Regions from separate parts of the Mus musculus genome. Here region 2 is reported to be linked to region 1. Evidence: microRNA targets listed by miRTarBase, many of them from high-throughput screens and not tested one by one. Region 1 holds a microRNA gene; the other region holds the end of a gene's coding sequence.

Region 1 (7,121 bases):
AATAAGGCAGTCCTCTGCTATGTATGCAGCTGGAGCCATGGGTCCCTCCATGTGTACTCTTCGGTTGGTGGTTTAGTCCCTGGGAGCTCTGGGGGTATACCCCTTAAGCTCCTTGGGTCCTTTCTCTAGCTCCTCCATTGGGGTTCCCATGCTCAGTCCGATGGTTGGTTGTGAGCATCCACCTCTGTGTTTGTCAGGTTATGGCAGAGCCAGTCCATCAGCATGCACTTCTTGGCATCCACAATAGCATCTGGGTTTGATGTCTGCTTTTATAAAACAGTAAAACATGGGGAAAAAAATCATCATGAAGGAGTGAAGCTTACTGGCTTTCTCTCCGTGGCTTGCTTAGTTTTCTCTCTATTACCATCCTGGATTACCTACTCAGGAATGGTACTACTATAGTAACTTAAATCCTCTCAATCATTAACCAAGAAAATGCCCTACACACTTACCTATAACCCAATCTTTCACAGGTACTTTCAAAATTAAGATTCCCTGTTCCCAGATATGGATGAGTTTATACCAGGTTGATGCAAAACAACCAGCTCATATTGCTATTCATCAATCTTAATTATTCCATCTCAATTTAATTTTTATGAAGATTTTCACTATGCTTTTTATTCACTTACAATTTTTTGTTTGATCATAATTTCTACTTATCTTTTTAGTCATTATTTCTGTATCTTGTAGTAAGAAGTCAAGGAGGAGTGCTAATAATCAGCTTGATTCATTCTTTTTCTTTAGTCCACTTTACAAGGTCAAATCAAAGAAGCCTGACAACAATCAGCAGCTAGGGTATCTCAATTTTTTCTGAAAGAGTCAAAGACTTGAATGCAAAAATATTTTTGTTTCCGGATTATCTTGTATCTTCCTACTCTGAATGATGTTCTCCAGTCAGCTAATTGTTCTAGGAGCATATTCAGTGATAAACCTAGAAGTATGTTTCCTAGTTTATCCCATGCTCCTTAAAGTTTAAAATCAGAATAACTTATTCATTATACATTAATGTTCTTGTTTGTATGGGAGCAAAGTGTTGTTCCAGATTGAGTAAAATGCAACCAACTCTTTTAAGAGCAAGCTTCACCAAGTGTATTACTTTATTAAACTTCTGGATATTGACCTTTGGATAGCTCCTAATTTCTTTGGCTGGTCTTTAATAATCTTAAGTAGTCCTGTGATATTTCTAGTTCATAGGGTTTATTAATGATGACTTTATTTCTATTCTTTGTTCAGTTGACTCACATGTATTAGACAACATAAAAATACTTTACTTATAAAAATTGGAAATGAAATAAACATGCATTATTGGTCATTCGATTCAACGAAGTAAGTAACAATATAGGATCAAAGGCTTTCATTTGTTATGCATGATGAATGACCATATCGTAAGCACAATTAAATATGTTAGGAATAAATTAATTCAGGGTTCAGGAGTCACACAGGACTGATAAATGTTCTAGTGATATAATAATAACAAGAATCATCACCTTCAAATACAGCAAAGTTGTTCTCTTTGCAGTGCCTATATGTCAGTGTCCTTTATGCATAGTTTAAGTCTTAGAAAATAGCATCCTATGTCATGGATGACCACAAATTGAACCCAGTCTATTCAGAATCATCATCATGCAAACTTAATATAGTGGTATATTACAAGATAGAGGAAAGAGGCATTGTGATTATTTTGATTCCTATTCTTAATCATTAATTGTCTTAGATTATAAAAAAAAGGACAGGATTAAGTATATACCCTATAAAAAATAAAAATTAGTTAAAGATTATATTATTGATTCTCCAAAACATCTAGTTTGTAAGAATGTATGTCAGAAGGCCTGTGGTTGTCATAAATATGATTGGGAATGAGATTTTAGAATATGTGGTCACATTAACATTCATATTAACAATCTGAGTGTGGTATAATATGAAATATGCTGGTGTTTGGGACAGGCTGATGCTATTCCTCATACTCAATGAACAAATTGTGTGCAGTACAATATTCAGAGAGATAACAGTCACATCTTTTCTAAAGTAACTGTGTCTTTTCTGAATAGAGTAATGTTCACCAAAAACAGCCTTAGTGATATACTCACTGAAGATCACAGGAGGCACTGTATCATAACACATCCTCAAGATTGATACGGCGGTAACTTCAATCGTCATTGGGGATCATCTTAATATACAAAGATGCAATCTGTTTATTTTTCTGGATAGTATAACTATTCACTGAAAAGGAAAGTTAGTTACAGGACATGCTTTATGTAAAAGCGTGGTGAAGGAGAGTGATTAATTATTCTCAAAAGTAGATGGACAAATTATGTCAAAGGATAGTTATCATGTTTTTTTTTAATTTAGTCTCTGATAAAAGCTGAAGTGTATGATAGAGGCTTCTTATACAGCAAGTTAATGAAAAGAGTGTTGTGTGCAATGCTTTATCTAGTTGGATGTCAAGACACGTGAAACTTAAGTGCATGACACCACACTGGGTAGAGGAGGGCTCACAGTGTTCCTCATTTGTTGTGGGCTTGGGTGGTCACAGTGCTGATAAATGAATGCTGCTGTTAGTTTGGCTGCACAGAAATAGAACCATGCATATTGTGTTTCTAGGTGTATTTATATTGTTACCTTTACATAAGGAATGTTGTGTTAGTGTCAGAAAGAATCTCTTTAAGTCAGACAAGAAAAAATAAAGTACATTAACACAGTTCCCAGTACATGAATACATTTATAAAACCTCCACTCTTTATTTTGACAGTCATTTCCCTTAGAAGAAGGCAAGTAAAAGGATTTATGGTATGAGAAACACATACTAAAGGTGTTTGATAATATGATTTTAAGCCTAAATTACAGAAGAGTTCAAACATTGTGGTTTGATGACTATGTAATAAAATGGGCAGGAGATGAAGGAAGCTTTTGTGACAGTGTCTACTTAAATACAATTATGCTCATTTTTATATTAACATTGGTACTGATGAGATGAAGTCCTTATGACCATGGATTTTCTTAAAGGAAGGTTCAGCAAGTAACTCATATAATGGCCTCTGTATGTAACCAAGGTAACTTGAAGTTCCTATTTATAGAGGAATTTTTGATATCTGATGGCTTAAATTCTCTTTAACATTCTTTGGACAGTCTGTTCTTAATCTTATGAACCTCATGTTAAATAATGTAAAGAAAGGTGCTAACATAAGGTACTTTTATTAGTGCATACATGTATAAAGTTAAATACTATAGATCATAGAATATGAAGAGTTGTGAAAGATAAAGTGCAGTATAGTCCTTTTAAACCTATGAATAAATAAGGTATTGTTGATGTATCTAACTATATTTATATAATTGCTGGAATATACTGAAGATTGTGGGATCAAGCTGAGACACAGGACATCACTGAACAAACTGTGTGCACTGCAATACTCAGATTGATATGAGTCACTTCCTATTGCATGTTACTCCATCCTCTCTGAGTAGAGTAAGGCACACCAATCACCAGTTTTGGTACCTGTAAATGTCTCATGTATGGATATGGTGAGGTTGATACATGCATGCATATTAGATGTGTTTTCCAGTCTTCAGCTTCAATGTATTACACTTCACCTTAGATAGCTTGGATGAGTGAACAGACTACAGAAGGATAAAAAATGATCTTTTTGGGAAATACTACGGTTCAGAGAAAATGGCAGTCAGCTAACTTTCATGCTAGTGAAAACCATTCTTCTGAAGCTGGAGGAATGTTAAAAAGATAGGTTCTTGATGGAATCCATGATGATGCATGAACAAATTAGACTAGCATTTAGTTATCATGTGAGTTGGTAACTTGATGCAAGCTAAAGATAAAAAGGGGATTGTAGAGGCTAGATTTCAACATTTCAACATTTACATATAATGTATGCTGCTTTAGCTAATTTTCTGTGCACCCTGGGAAACATAAAAGATGATATCCCATATTGGGTAAGGCAATATTTAATGAAGATTTCATTTGTGTACTCACCTTATGAATATATACAAGTATGTAAGCATAAAAGTGCAAAACATTTAGTTTATTCTTCATATGAATTAATAAAATGAATTTAATTTTACAGATACAGTGTTGGCAATCATCTACGCAAACTACAGGTCACTGTATCTACCATATATTGTTCTTATATGGATATTTAAAACAGAGTTGTGATACTCATTTCTTCCCTACTCCCTCACTTATCCTAGAATCTTACCTTGCTCCACAGTTAAACAATGCCCCCCCCCATTAGTCTCCTTTCCTCTTCCATACCACCTGTGTTTTGTTACCCTTTTAGTAAGCTTTTCTCACAACTCTCTACCCAGTGGCCTTTTTCTATTTTTATGGGTTCTGTAGTTATTCCTTGCTGAACACACAAATCTAATAATTATTTTAATACTTGCATGTTACAGGAGGAAGAAAAATAACTTCAACGAGAAATTCTAACTTATATAAGTGAAATTACAGTCCCCCGTATTGTCTTGGTAGAGAATACCATTAATTGAAACAGAAGACACATCAGAGGATATTCTCTTGGAGGAATTTTTGGTGACAATTTGTAGATTGTGTGTGTGTGTGTACATATATGTATATATATTATACACAAAGTATGTCAAGTTTTAGCAACAATGTACAATTGGTACTTTGCTAAAAGATAAAGAGGATCATGGAAGCTACATTTGCAACATTTTTATATTAAAGGTATGATGTACCCTGCTTTACCTAATTTGTTGTCCATCATGTAAAACATAAATGATGATAGACACCATATAAGGTAGAGGAAGGTTCACTATGTTCATCACCTGGAACATCATTGTGGTATAGAAGCATTAACCCTTGTTAGAGCTTGCTGGCCTTAATTTGGCATTTGTATCTAAAGGACCAAAGTTTAGTAAGGTGCATTTATTCTTTTTTTTCCCATTTTTTATTAGGTATTTAGCTCATTTACATTTCCAATGCTATACCAAAAGTCCCCCATACCCACCCATCCCCACTCCCCTACCCACCCACTCCCCCTTTTTGGCCCTGGCGTTCCCCTGTACTGGGGCATATAAAGTTTGCAAGTCCAATGGGCCTCTCTTTCCAGTGATGGCTGACTAGGCCATCTTTTGATACATATGCAGCTAGAGTCAAGAGCTCCGGGGTACTGGTTAGTTCATAATGTTGTTCCACCTATAGGGTTGCAGATCCCTTTAGCTCCTTGGGTACTTTCTCTAGCTCCTCCATTGGGAGCCCTGTGATCCATCCATTAGCTGACTGTGAGCATCCACTTCTGTGTTTGCTAGGCCCTGGCATAGTCTCACAAGAGACAGCTACATCTGGGTCCTTTCAATAAAATCTTGCTAGTGTATGCAATGGTGTCAGCGTTTGGATGCTGATTATGGGGTGGATCCCTGGATATGGCAGTCTCTACATGGTCCATCCTTTCATCTCAGCTCCAAACTTTGTCTCTGTAACTCCTTCCATGGGTGTTTTGTTCCCAATTCTAAGGAGGGGCATAGTGTCCACACTTCAGTCTTCATTCTTCTTGAGTTTCATGTGTCATTCTTCTTGAGTTTCATGTGGCATTTATTCTTTAATGTTAACCTTGCAGACACATCAAGATTTATAAACATTCAGATACAACAATCATTACATGTTTTTAAATTACAGATTTAGTTCAGTATATTTTTAAATTATAATTTAATTATAATATTTATACCTCTTATTTTTCCCTCCAAACACTTTCATATTTCCCTCCCTGCTCTCCCTCAAATTGATGATGTTTGTCAATAATTGTTACTGAATGTATTGATGTATTTTTATATAGCTATTTATTCCTAAATATATTCTGCTAAGTCTGTATAGTGTTACTTGTTTGTATGTTTTCAGGATGAATGTTTTGCACTAGACAACCAAATGGAATGTTCTTCCATGAGTGCTGGGAGTTAGGAGACATCTCCCAATACTGGCTTTTCTAGTTGTGTATAGTTCTTTGTGTAGGATTGAGGAATCATGAGCTTTTCCTGGTTTAATCTCAATTTTGACAGCCATTCGTGCAAATAACTGCTCATAATAACTAGATGGAAATATGTGGGAAAGAATACTATAGAATTATTTCATAAGGACATATAAATACAATTAAGGTTTATATTTTATGCTGTAGGGTGAATTGATAAATTTTGAGTGATAATTAAGAGTTTTAAGCGGGACTTCACATTTTTGGTTTATTTTTAACCTTAAGTTAATCTAGTTTTATAGTATTTATAAGTAGAATATAATTTTCCAATTAACAGAAATAAATGTGTGTTTACCTCTAAGTGGAAGAAAACTTTACTCATTTATTGTGGCTTCGTGAATATGAAAATGGTATTCCAAAACTTAAAGTTTTGGGGCTTCTGGGATTTTAGATGGCCATTTGATCTTGTAGGAAATATTATTCTTTTATATGATAATATTTTACTATCATTTGGTTCACAAATAATTTTGAGACTATATGAATGGAGGGTATTAAGTTAGGAAATAAATAAAATAAATAAATAAGTAAATAAAAATTAGGTAATTTATGTACGCATGTCTTTCCCACCATGGTGTTAGAATATGATATAGGAAAAAAAAAAGAATATGATATAGGCTAGGTTGCAAGATTGACAAGGTAAAAGTATGTTTTACTATCCTTAGTATTTAGAAATAATAAATATATGTTTCATGCATAGTTGTAATGGTAACTGTTTCTCTGATTTTTGCTTTTTCTTTAACTTTCATTTTGATGAGTTTTGTGTTATTGCTAGTTCATTTTTTTTAAATCAAGGGAAAGATGTTTGGGGTTGATGAGTGAGGTGGTAGGGCAGATCTGAGAATAGGTGAAAGCATGATCAGAATATATTGTAAGGGAAAAACATTTTTAGTAAGTAAAACGTGCTGGATGTATTAATTTGAATAAAAAAACTGAATATTAGCTGTAGTGAAAACTATTTATAGAAATGGTGACATAAGATGATACTATGTGAAAGAAAATCATGATATAGTAGAATTGGTAGGTATTCTCTAAGATTTACTACTAAATGAGGTAAGAATGCAAGAATTGTGGAGTTATGATTTCTAATTGAAGGTGACAGACTAGCTTTCTATCAGAAGTATATAAAATGTCTCA
Region 2 (7,121 bases), not on the chromosome of region 1:
CTGTGAGCATCTACTTATGTGTTTGCTAGGCCCCGGCATATTCTCACAAGAGACAGCTATATCAGGGTCCTATCAGTACAATCTTGCTAGTGTATGCAATGGTGTCAGCGTTTGGAGGCTGATTATGGGATGGATCCCTAGATATGGCAGTCTCTAGATGGTCCATCGTTTTGTCTCAGCTCCAATCTTTGTCTCTGTAACTCCTTCCATGGGTATTTTGTTCCCAGTTCTAATAAGGGGCAAAGTGTCCACACTTTGGTCTTCATTCTTCTTGAGTTTCATGTGTTTTGCAAATTGTAACTTATATCTTGGGTATTCTAAGTTTCTGGGCTAATATCCACTTATCAGTGAGTACATATCATTTGAGTTCTTTTGTGATTGGGTTACTTCACTCAGGATGATGCCCTCCAGGTCCAACCATTTGCCTAGGAATTTCAGTGGGCTTTTCAATACCACGATTTTGTCAGCAACTCATGAAAATGTACCCTGAAATGAATACTTTTTTATGTATGTTATACTCAGTCAAATTAATTTTTAAGTCCCTGTACTTTTATATTAGACTTTTTACACACACACACACACACACACACACACCCCAGTAACACTGTATTAAGAAAATAGTGGTCTCTCCTTCTGTCCATATGTAGGCTACACAGCCTAGGTGAATGAGTTGGCCACCTCTCTGCCCCAGTGTCTGGCCTCACAGAGTTTTGTTGTTTTGTTGTGACAACAGGTATAAGAAAGTCTACAAAGTTCACCAGGACGTGTGCTTTAAGGAGCGCTGCCAGAGCACAAGCCTCAGGAAACCCAAACAGGTGCATCTCTGGGCCAGGCCAGGTTGTGCATGCAGTTCTGTGGGTGGGTAGTGACAGGGCTGGGTCAAGCTAGGTTGTTTGCCCAAAATTGCAGCCCATGTGTGGCTATACTCTACTCAGAATCTAGTGCCCACATGTGCACACAAGAGTGCACAGATAGGCCCAGCTGTGCCTGGAGGTGGTCACTGCCGTTCTGCACAGGGAATGTGGTGCTGACAGGAAAACATGAAATGTGACCAACAGGTCAGTGCCTAACCTGAAGTCCCCCCACAATGCCTGGTTGCTTTCTGCTCATCCCATAGCATCCTTCAGCTGGTGTGTGCAGCTGGACTGAAAGGCCAGGCTCCCTGTCAGCCTGTGAGGGCTTCGCTGGGTTACATATGAGGAACCGATGAGGCTGACAGAGGTAGGGTTTCAGGTACACAAGAGTCTTTCTCACCAAACTGGTTTTCTTAATTCTTTCAGGAAACAAAGTAACAGTCAAACACTGAAGAGATCTTAAGGAAATCATTCTCCTTCATACCAAGATCTGTTGAGAACTGGAGACACCATCACACCCAGCAACCTGGACACCAAGGTCCTTTATCAGACACTGATGGTGACAACTCAGCACTGTGCTGTTACAGACCCAACCAGGAAGGTTCCAGAATTCCCTGTCTATAGCCTCTCAATAGACATAACCTGGTCTGAGCTTGCATATGAATCTACTTTCAGGTGGAAATGACTCTCTCATTGCAGACCAGTTACAATGAGGTACAAGAATCACCTGGCCCCTTCAGGACCATGGGCCTTGCTGGCAGATGGATCAAGGATGCCAAACAGTCCAAACAATGCCAAAGGAAAGGACCTAAGGACATACCCCCAAGCCCTACGAGCAGCATTCTGCTGGTAGACTAGGGCGGGAGTCTTGTCATGTAACCTGCAGGAGATCCTAAATATAGCCTCTCTCTGGGGGTGCTAGAGTGGACCCTGGAATTCTAAGCACTAATAACCCTGAAATCAAAGAAACTGCCCGTTTGATCCAGCATGCCCCACCCCGCCTCCCCAAGCATAAACTGTGAGATGTTAAAGGGCATTGGAATTTTTTTTTTCACAGTAGTCTGGAAAATACTGGGTTACACTACAGAAATCCCTGTATAGGCTGAACACAGCCCCACACTGACTTATTGGCATAATTGGAATGACAGACTGGCTAGCCAGAGAGAATTTACTCCTCTCCCTTGGAGGAGCCAGGGCAGTCCATCTTTCCAGTGGTGGAAGAGAGGCATATCTGGAAAGCTCCCACTTCAGGAGTGACTATCACCTTTTTCTTCTATAGTGTAGGACATGAAGGAGAAATGTCACCCAAAGGCCTAAGAACAAACAAAAGCAATGGAGTTCCGGGTGAAGGTCATCCTAAGAAAACAGTGCCTGCAGTGACAGTGACAGGCACAGACAGAAGCTCACAGTCGGACCCTGAAATCAGGCAGGCATCAGGAGGGCAGGCTCTCAGACGGGCCTAGGGAGCAGGGCCTGTGCCTCCTGACCGGTTCAGATGTGAAACTCTGCAGGAAGAACAGCCGACAAGACTCAAGTCCTGTGCACCCAACAGCATCGCCTTTTCAGCCCAGCACCAAGAATGCACACAAAACACCCTCCAACACTTGTGAGCAACACATCTGGCAAAGATAAAAAATCCACAAATTATTTGGTTTTAAAATATTTATATGGTAATAAGTCACTTGAAATATTAATGCATCTTTTACGAACTCACCCAGAAAACCCATTTTTATAAAAAAAAAAAAGAGAGAGAGAATCCTAGATACTTACCACATAATGGCTTATAGAATTCCTATTCTCAGAGCAACACACATTACACACAGCCCTTTCTCTTTCTCTGAAGAAAAACACCAGAATTTGCGACCCACAGCTGCCCTGAGAAAGCCGGCAGTGCCATCCCCGCCAAAAGAAAGGCAGCAGAGGGCCAAGCAGCCTACTGATGCAAAGCCCCAGGCTGGGCACGAGTGTCCTCAGGGTGCGTGGCTCCTGTCCATCCCTCCCTGCATCCCAGCCGGCTGGAAATCTGGCTCCTGGGGACAGTGCTTGCTGTCTCCAGAGAAAGACAGTGGGTACAAAGAGGAGTGTGCCCCAGCTCACTGTTACTCCTTCAAAAGGACCAGCATGTGCTGGTAACACTGCCCACCTCCCGGATTTCCAAAACTCAGGAAAATGATGTCCAAAACTTAAAAGCCAAGCTCCTGGCTGAAAGCAGTCTCCCCTGAGATCTCTGTCCTCAGATTTCCAGAAAAGAGACAACCAGACCTGCACACCCAAAGCCGCCTGCCGGGGAAGCACTGAAGCACCTGCCATCTCAATCCAGCCTGCTGTTTCTGCAGCTCTGGTCAGTTCCCCTGTGGGGAGTTACCTGGGTTACCAGGCTCTGTGAGTGGTGCTTCTGTGCTCAGAAACCCACCCCCAGATCCCCGTGCCAGAGACATGACCCTTGAACTCCCAAAACATGGAGAAGGAAAAGACTCAACTTTCATAAAAAATACAAGAAAGGCTGTGTGGAAACAGGTGACCTCTACCCTGCTCCTCTCCTCATTTATACTGACCTAAAGAAGAAGTGCTAATTACTACTATGGTGGAGTTTAGACACTTGGTCTACAACTCAGGGGTGGCAGGGCAGTCAGATGCTCAGGCAGGATTTTGGGCTTCGAAGATAGAATGACCTCTCTGGCACACACGTGACCCTGCTACTGTACTGCCAACATGGTAACAGATGTAGATAGCATAGCTACATTCCAATGAAACTTCATTTACGAAAACAGGCGGTAGGCTAGAGTTGGCAGGCAGGTGCCTGGTTTATAAGATGATCTAGACTTCAGCCTTCTGTGGAGAATGCTATCTCCTGAATGACAAGTAGCCATCAAGACATGAAAAACCCCTAAACTTTCATAGAAGAAAAGCAATCAAGACCCTTGCTCAGGAGCCTAAGGTATACATACTTACACCATAGAGCAGCAAAAGCTATCAGTTCAAATCTAAACGCAGCCCACAGTAGCACAGGGCAGGCCGGCTGCAGGACACAGGGTCCAACCAAGGCTTCTTGTAATCTGCGCCTGAAGTAGATGGCTGTGGGCCACCAAAACGAAAATACTTTCTTTACACAGCCTCCGCTTTCCATCCCATTCCCAAGGCTCTAAGCAGCTTCCTCCTCCCTGCAGTGACCGCACAATCAGAAAAGCCAACCACACCTAGATTCCATGAGAGCAGAGCTGACCAGCACCAGCACCAAGAACTGCATCCCGACCAGAGAGGCCTTCTGCCCTCCACAGTTCATAAAAACATACTTTGAAGTATAACCTTTTACATTTTATTCTCACTAGAAAATTCTGAGCCTATGTATTACTTTTTTTTTTCTTTTTCAAGGAGGGTCAGTCACATCAAAAACTCACTACTGTATCTTAGATACCCACTAGAGATCTGGAGACCGAGTAAGCTACAGTGTTAACAGTGAACAGCAAGATCAAGCAGCACCTCTGGGAACGTAGATGGGATCTTCGTACTATACCTCAGGACTCTCACCCCCAAGCCGATGCTGCCACATTCCCATCTCCAGTTGGAGCCAGCCTGCTGTGTGGCGCTGTCGGGCAATCATTCCAACTGGAGTGGAGAAAGACTTGCCTGTGCTGAGGAATTAGTATACATCATTCCAAACATGCTGTCTCTGCTTTCTTACACAGAATAATTAAATCCCTCAAAACAGTCAGCGTCCACTTGGGAAATGTCATAGTGGAATCAGCAAACAGACAAGGTGGAGATTTATTTTTGTGTCCAACTGAAGTAATTATGAGTTGTTGGGCTCACCATTTGCTAATCAAAACTGAAGATGAGTAGATTACCTAATTGAGCTCACAGTTAGGATTCTATTCCGTTCTGATGAGTCCAAGGCCAAACACCCTACATTCAGGGAGGAGAGTGTCGATCACAAAAAGACCACAAAATGGGAAGAGTAAGCAGCAAAGAATGGATCATTGTTCTCAAACAGCTTTGTCCACAGCCAAGAACAGGCAGAAGGCATTCGTTCCCCTCTACTGCCTATGGGATGTGGGGTAGAGAAGATGGCTTGCTACGTCCTGCTTTCTGTGGAGAGTCCAACAGGCAAGGACACGCCCTTGCCAGGAATGAGCTTGCCTCACATACCTGCCATAGTGAGAACTGTGTGTGTGGAGGGTAGGGGTGGGGGGAGGAATCTTGGAATGATTGCTTTTCTTTGTAAACACCCTCCTCTTTGCAGTCAGGTTCCAGGTAAGTCAAGAGCCGCCTCACCTTGGTGCTGATTCCTCACAAAATGCACCTCAGATCCAGCAGTATCTCTGCTTTAGACAGAAATGATACATCAGGTCCATTTACAACACACATTAGCTGTAGTCACAGTACTTTTGTGGGCCAGGTCTTTGAGCAGTTTCTCAGCTTTGGCATTGCTTTGTGGGCCTAATTATTCCTTATGCGGTGCAATGTACAATATTTTACAGCATCCCTGGCTCTGACCACAAGATCCTGAGGCCATGACACACACACACACACACACACACACACACACACACAAATCCCCAAAGATTGTCAGATGTCTGGAGGATTAAGGTCATCCTCACGTAAGCACTGGATTCAGTCTAAACACAAGGCCCACATTGGGTTTCGTGTGACTGTTAAATGTCACCAAATGGGGGAAAAATACTACCAAGCACTCCTGACTTTGATCCTATAACCAAAAAGCTTTCTGCATCACCCTGTGCAGTTTCCTGAGGAAGAGGCACAGACAACTTTCCAAGAGGCCTCAGTTCTCTGACCCTCTAAGCCTGAGCTCCACCAAATCAGGCCTCTCCTCCAGCTCACCTCATCCTAGTCCCAGTACATCACATGGCTCCACTGCACACACTCCACACTGCCCAGTGCTCCCCAGTGCTGGTCTCTGAGCAGCTCACTCTTAGCACAGTCTACAGAGCCAGAAAGATAGGAGGCCTTGAAGTGGCAACCAGCCAGGAACCAACATGAAGGCCAACTTGCCCAAGCAGGAAGGGTCAGCAACTGACAGAGAAGCATTTTGCTAGTCTGACAACCGTGTGACTAAAGGACATGTTACTAACGTAACCAACTGCCTCTCACTCTGCTGTACACTCAACACGTCAGAAGGCTGGGAAATGGTGTCAGATTTAGAAGCTGCCTATTGTGTGGGAAACCTGCTACTTGTTTTCATTAAATAAAGTGCTATGACATACTAACCCTCATGTTTCAATTTCATGACTTCATCTTTACTACTACCTGGACATACAAAGTACTCCTGAGCCGAAAGGCACCTCTCTCTCCACATGGTTTTGGAACTAGCACAACTTATTTTAACAGAGAAAAAGACTCCAACCTGGAAGGGTTGCACCCCCTGGATTTTGACAGCCGAGTCCTTTATTTAGGATGGAGTAGGGCCTCCCAAAGAACCCACAACAAAGCACCCCTCATTTGGTTTGGTTTATCTACCTGTATCTCCAGTGGATCATTACAGGTTGGTTTTTTCCCCCATCAAAATACCAGTGTTGGGATCAAAAGTGCTTGAGAAGATCCAGGTGAAGGTCCCCAGCACTTCGAGAATATGAGAATGACCTCTGACACCCCAGTGCTGTGTCACAGTAGCTCCTCCTCTTCCTCCTCTTCCTCTTCCTCCTCAGATGCATGGCTCTCAGACTCCTCCTCCTCCTCTTGATCCAAGAGTTTTTTAAAAACTTGAAACTCCTCGACAGAGGAACAGGCTGTCCTGGCCAAAAACTCAGCTTCAGAAACTCTGAGAATGTTCCTCAGTGAGGGATTAGGGATCTGTGTCTGCCCCTTCTTATCAGGGGTCTGGTACCGTCCAAGGCGCTCCAGGTAAATGTGTCTCTGCTTGATCTTGGTTATTGAATACTGTAAGAAATTCGTCCTGACTATGTCTAGATGTGTGAGTCCCATCCTGAAATATGCATACTGAAAGATACAAACATGTTCAGGAATCCATGTAGAGAAACCTGAAGCCTGTCATTCCAACTCAAAACAAACTTTAGTCCAAAGTCATTAGTTGCCTAATTAGAAATGGTAGAATAGCCACTGTAGTATAATACCAACACTTTTATGAAATCTCAAGTTTTCAAAGCATTTCCAAATTCAAGCTGAGAAAAATGCATCAGAAAACAAAGGGGCATACAGGGATATACTTTTCTTTAAATAGGGCAACAAAAATCATGAGTGTAGGAAAAATCAGACCCAAAGAAATCCTAAGATACCTAGGAACCTTTAAAC

The links. Region 1 holds the annotated microRNA mmu-miR-878-3p (GCAUGACACCACACUGGGUAGA, at 2,464-2,485, shown strand). A microRNA usually pairs through its seed, bases 2 to 8, with sites in the 3' UTR of a target mRNA and lowers its output. Matches are read on the target gene's strand: a 7mer-m8 pairs with bases 2 to 8, a 7mer-A1 pairs with bases 2 to 7 and ends in A, and an 8mer does both.
Region 2: miRTarBase lists Mterf4 as a target of mmu-miR-878-3p. The part of its 3' UTR that is shown has no 7-base or 8-base seed match.

The regions. Positions count from the first base shown.
Region 1 is chrX:66,796,882-66,804,002 of GRCm38, reverse strand. It overlaps Mir878 (microRNA 878), which reads left to right and starts at 2,418; the gene lies at 2,418-2,495. It overlaps Mir463 (microRNA 463), which reads left to right and starts at 4,706; the gene lies at 4,706-4,780. It overlaps Mir880 (microRNA 880), which reads left to right and starts at 3,396; the gene lies at 3,396-3,473. It overlaps Mir881 (microRNA 881), which reads left to right and starts at 1,982; the gene lies at 1,982-2,059.
Region 2 is chr1:93,294,987-93,302,107 of GRCm38, forward strand. It overlaps Mterf4 (mitochondrial transcription termination factor 4), which reads right to left. Exons shown (of 4, transcript NM_178051.4): 4 at 6,219-6,809. The coding sequence ends at 6,474. Sned1 (sushi, nidogen and EGF-like domains 1) reads left to right here. Exons shown (of 31, transcript NM_172463.4): 30 at 734-815; 31 at 1,281-1,462. The coding sequence ends at 1,292. Among named protein-coding and RNA genes, the nearest start is that of Mterf4, 7.3 kb to the right of the region's middle.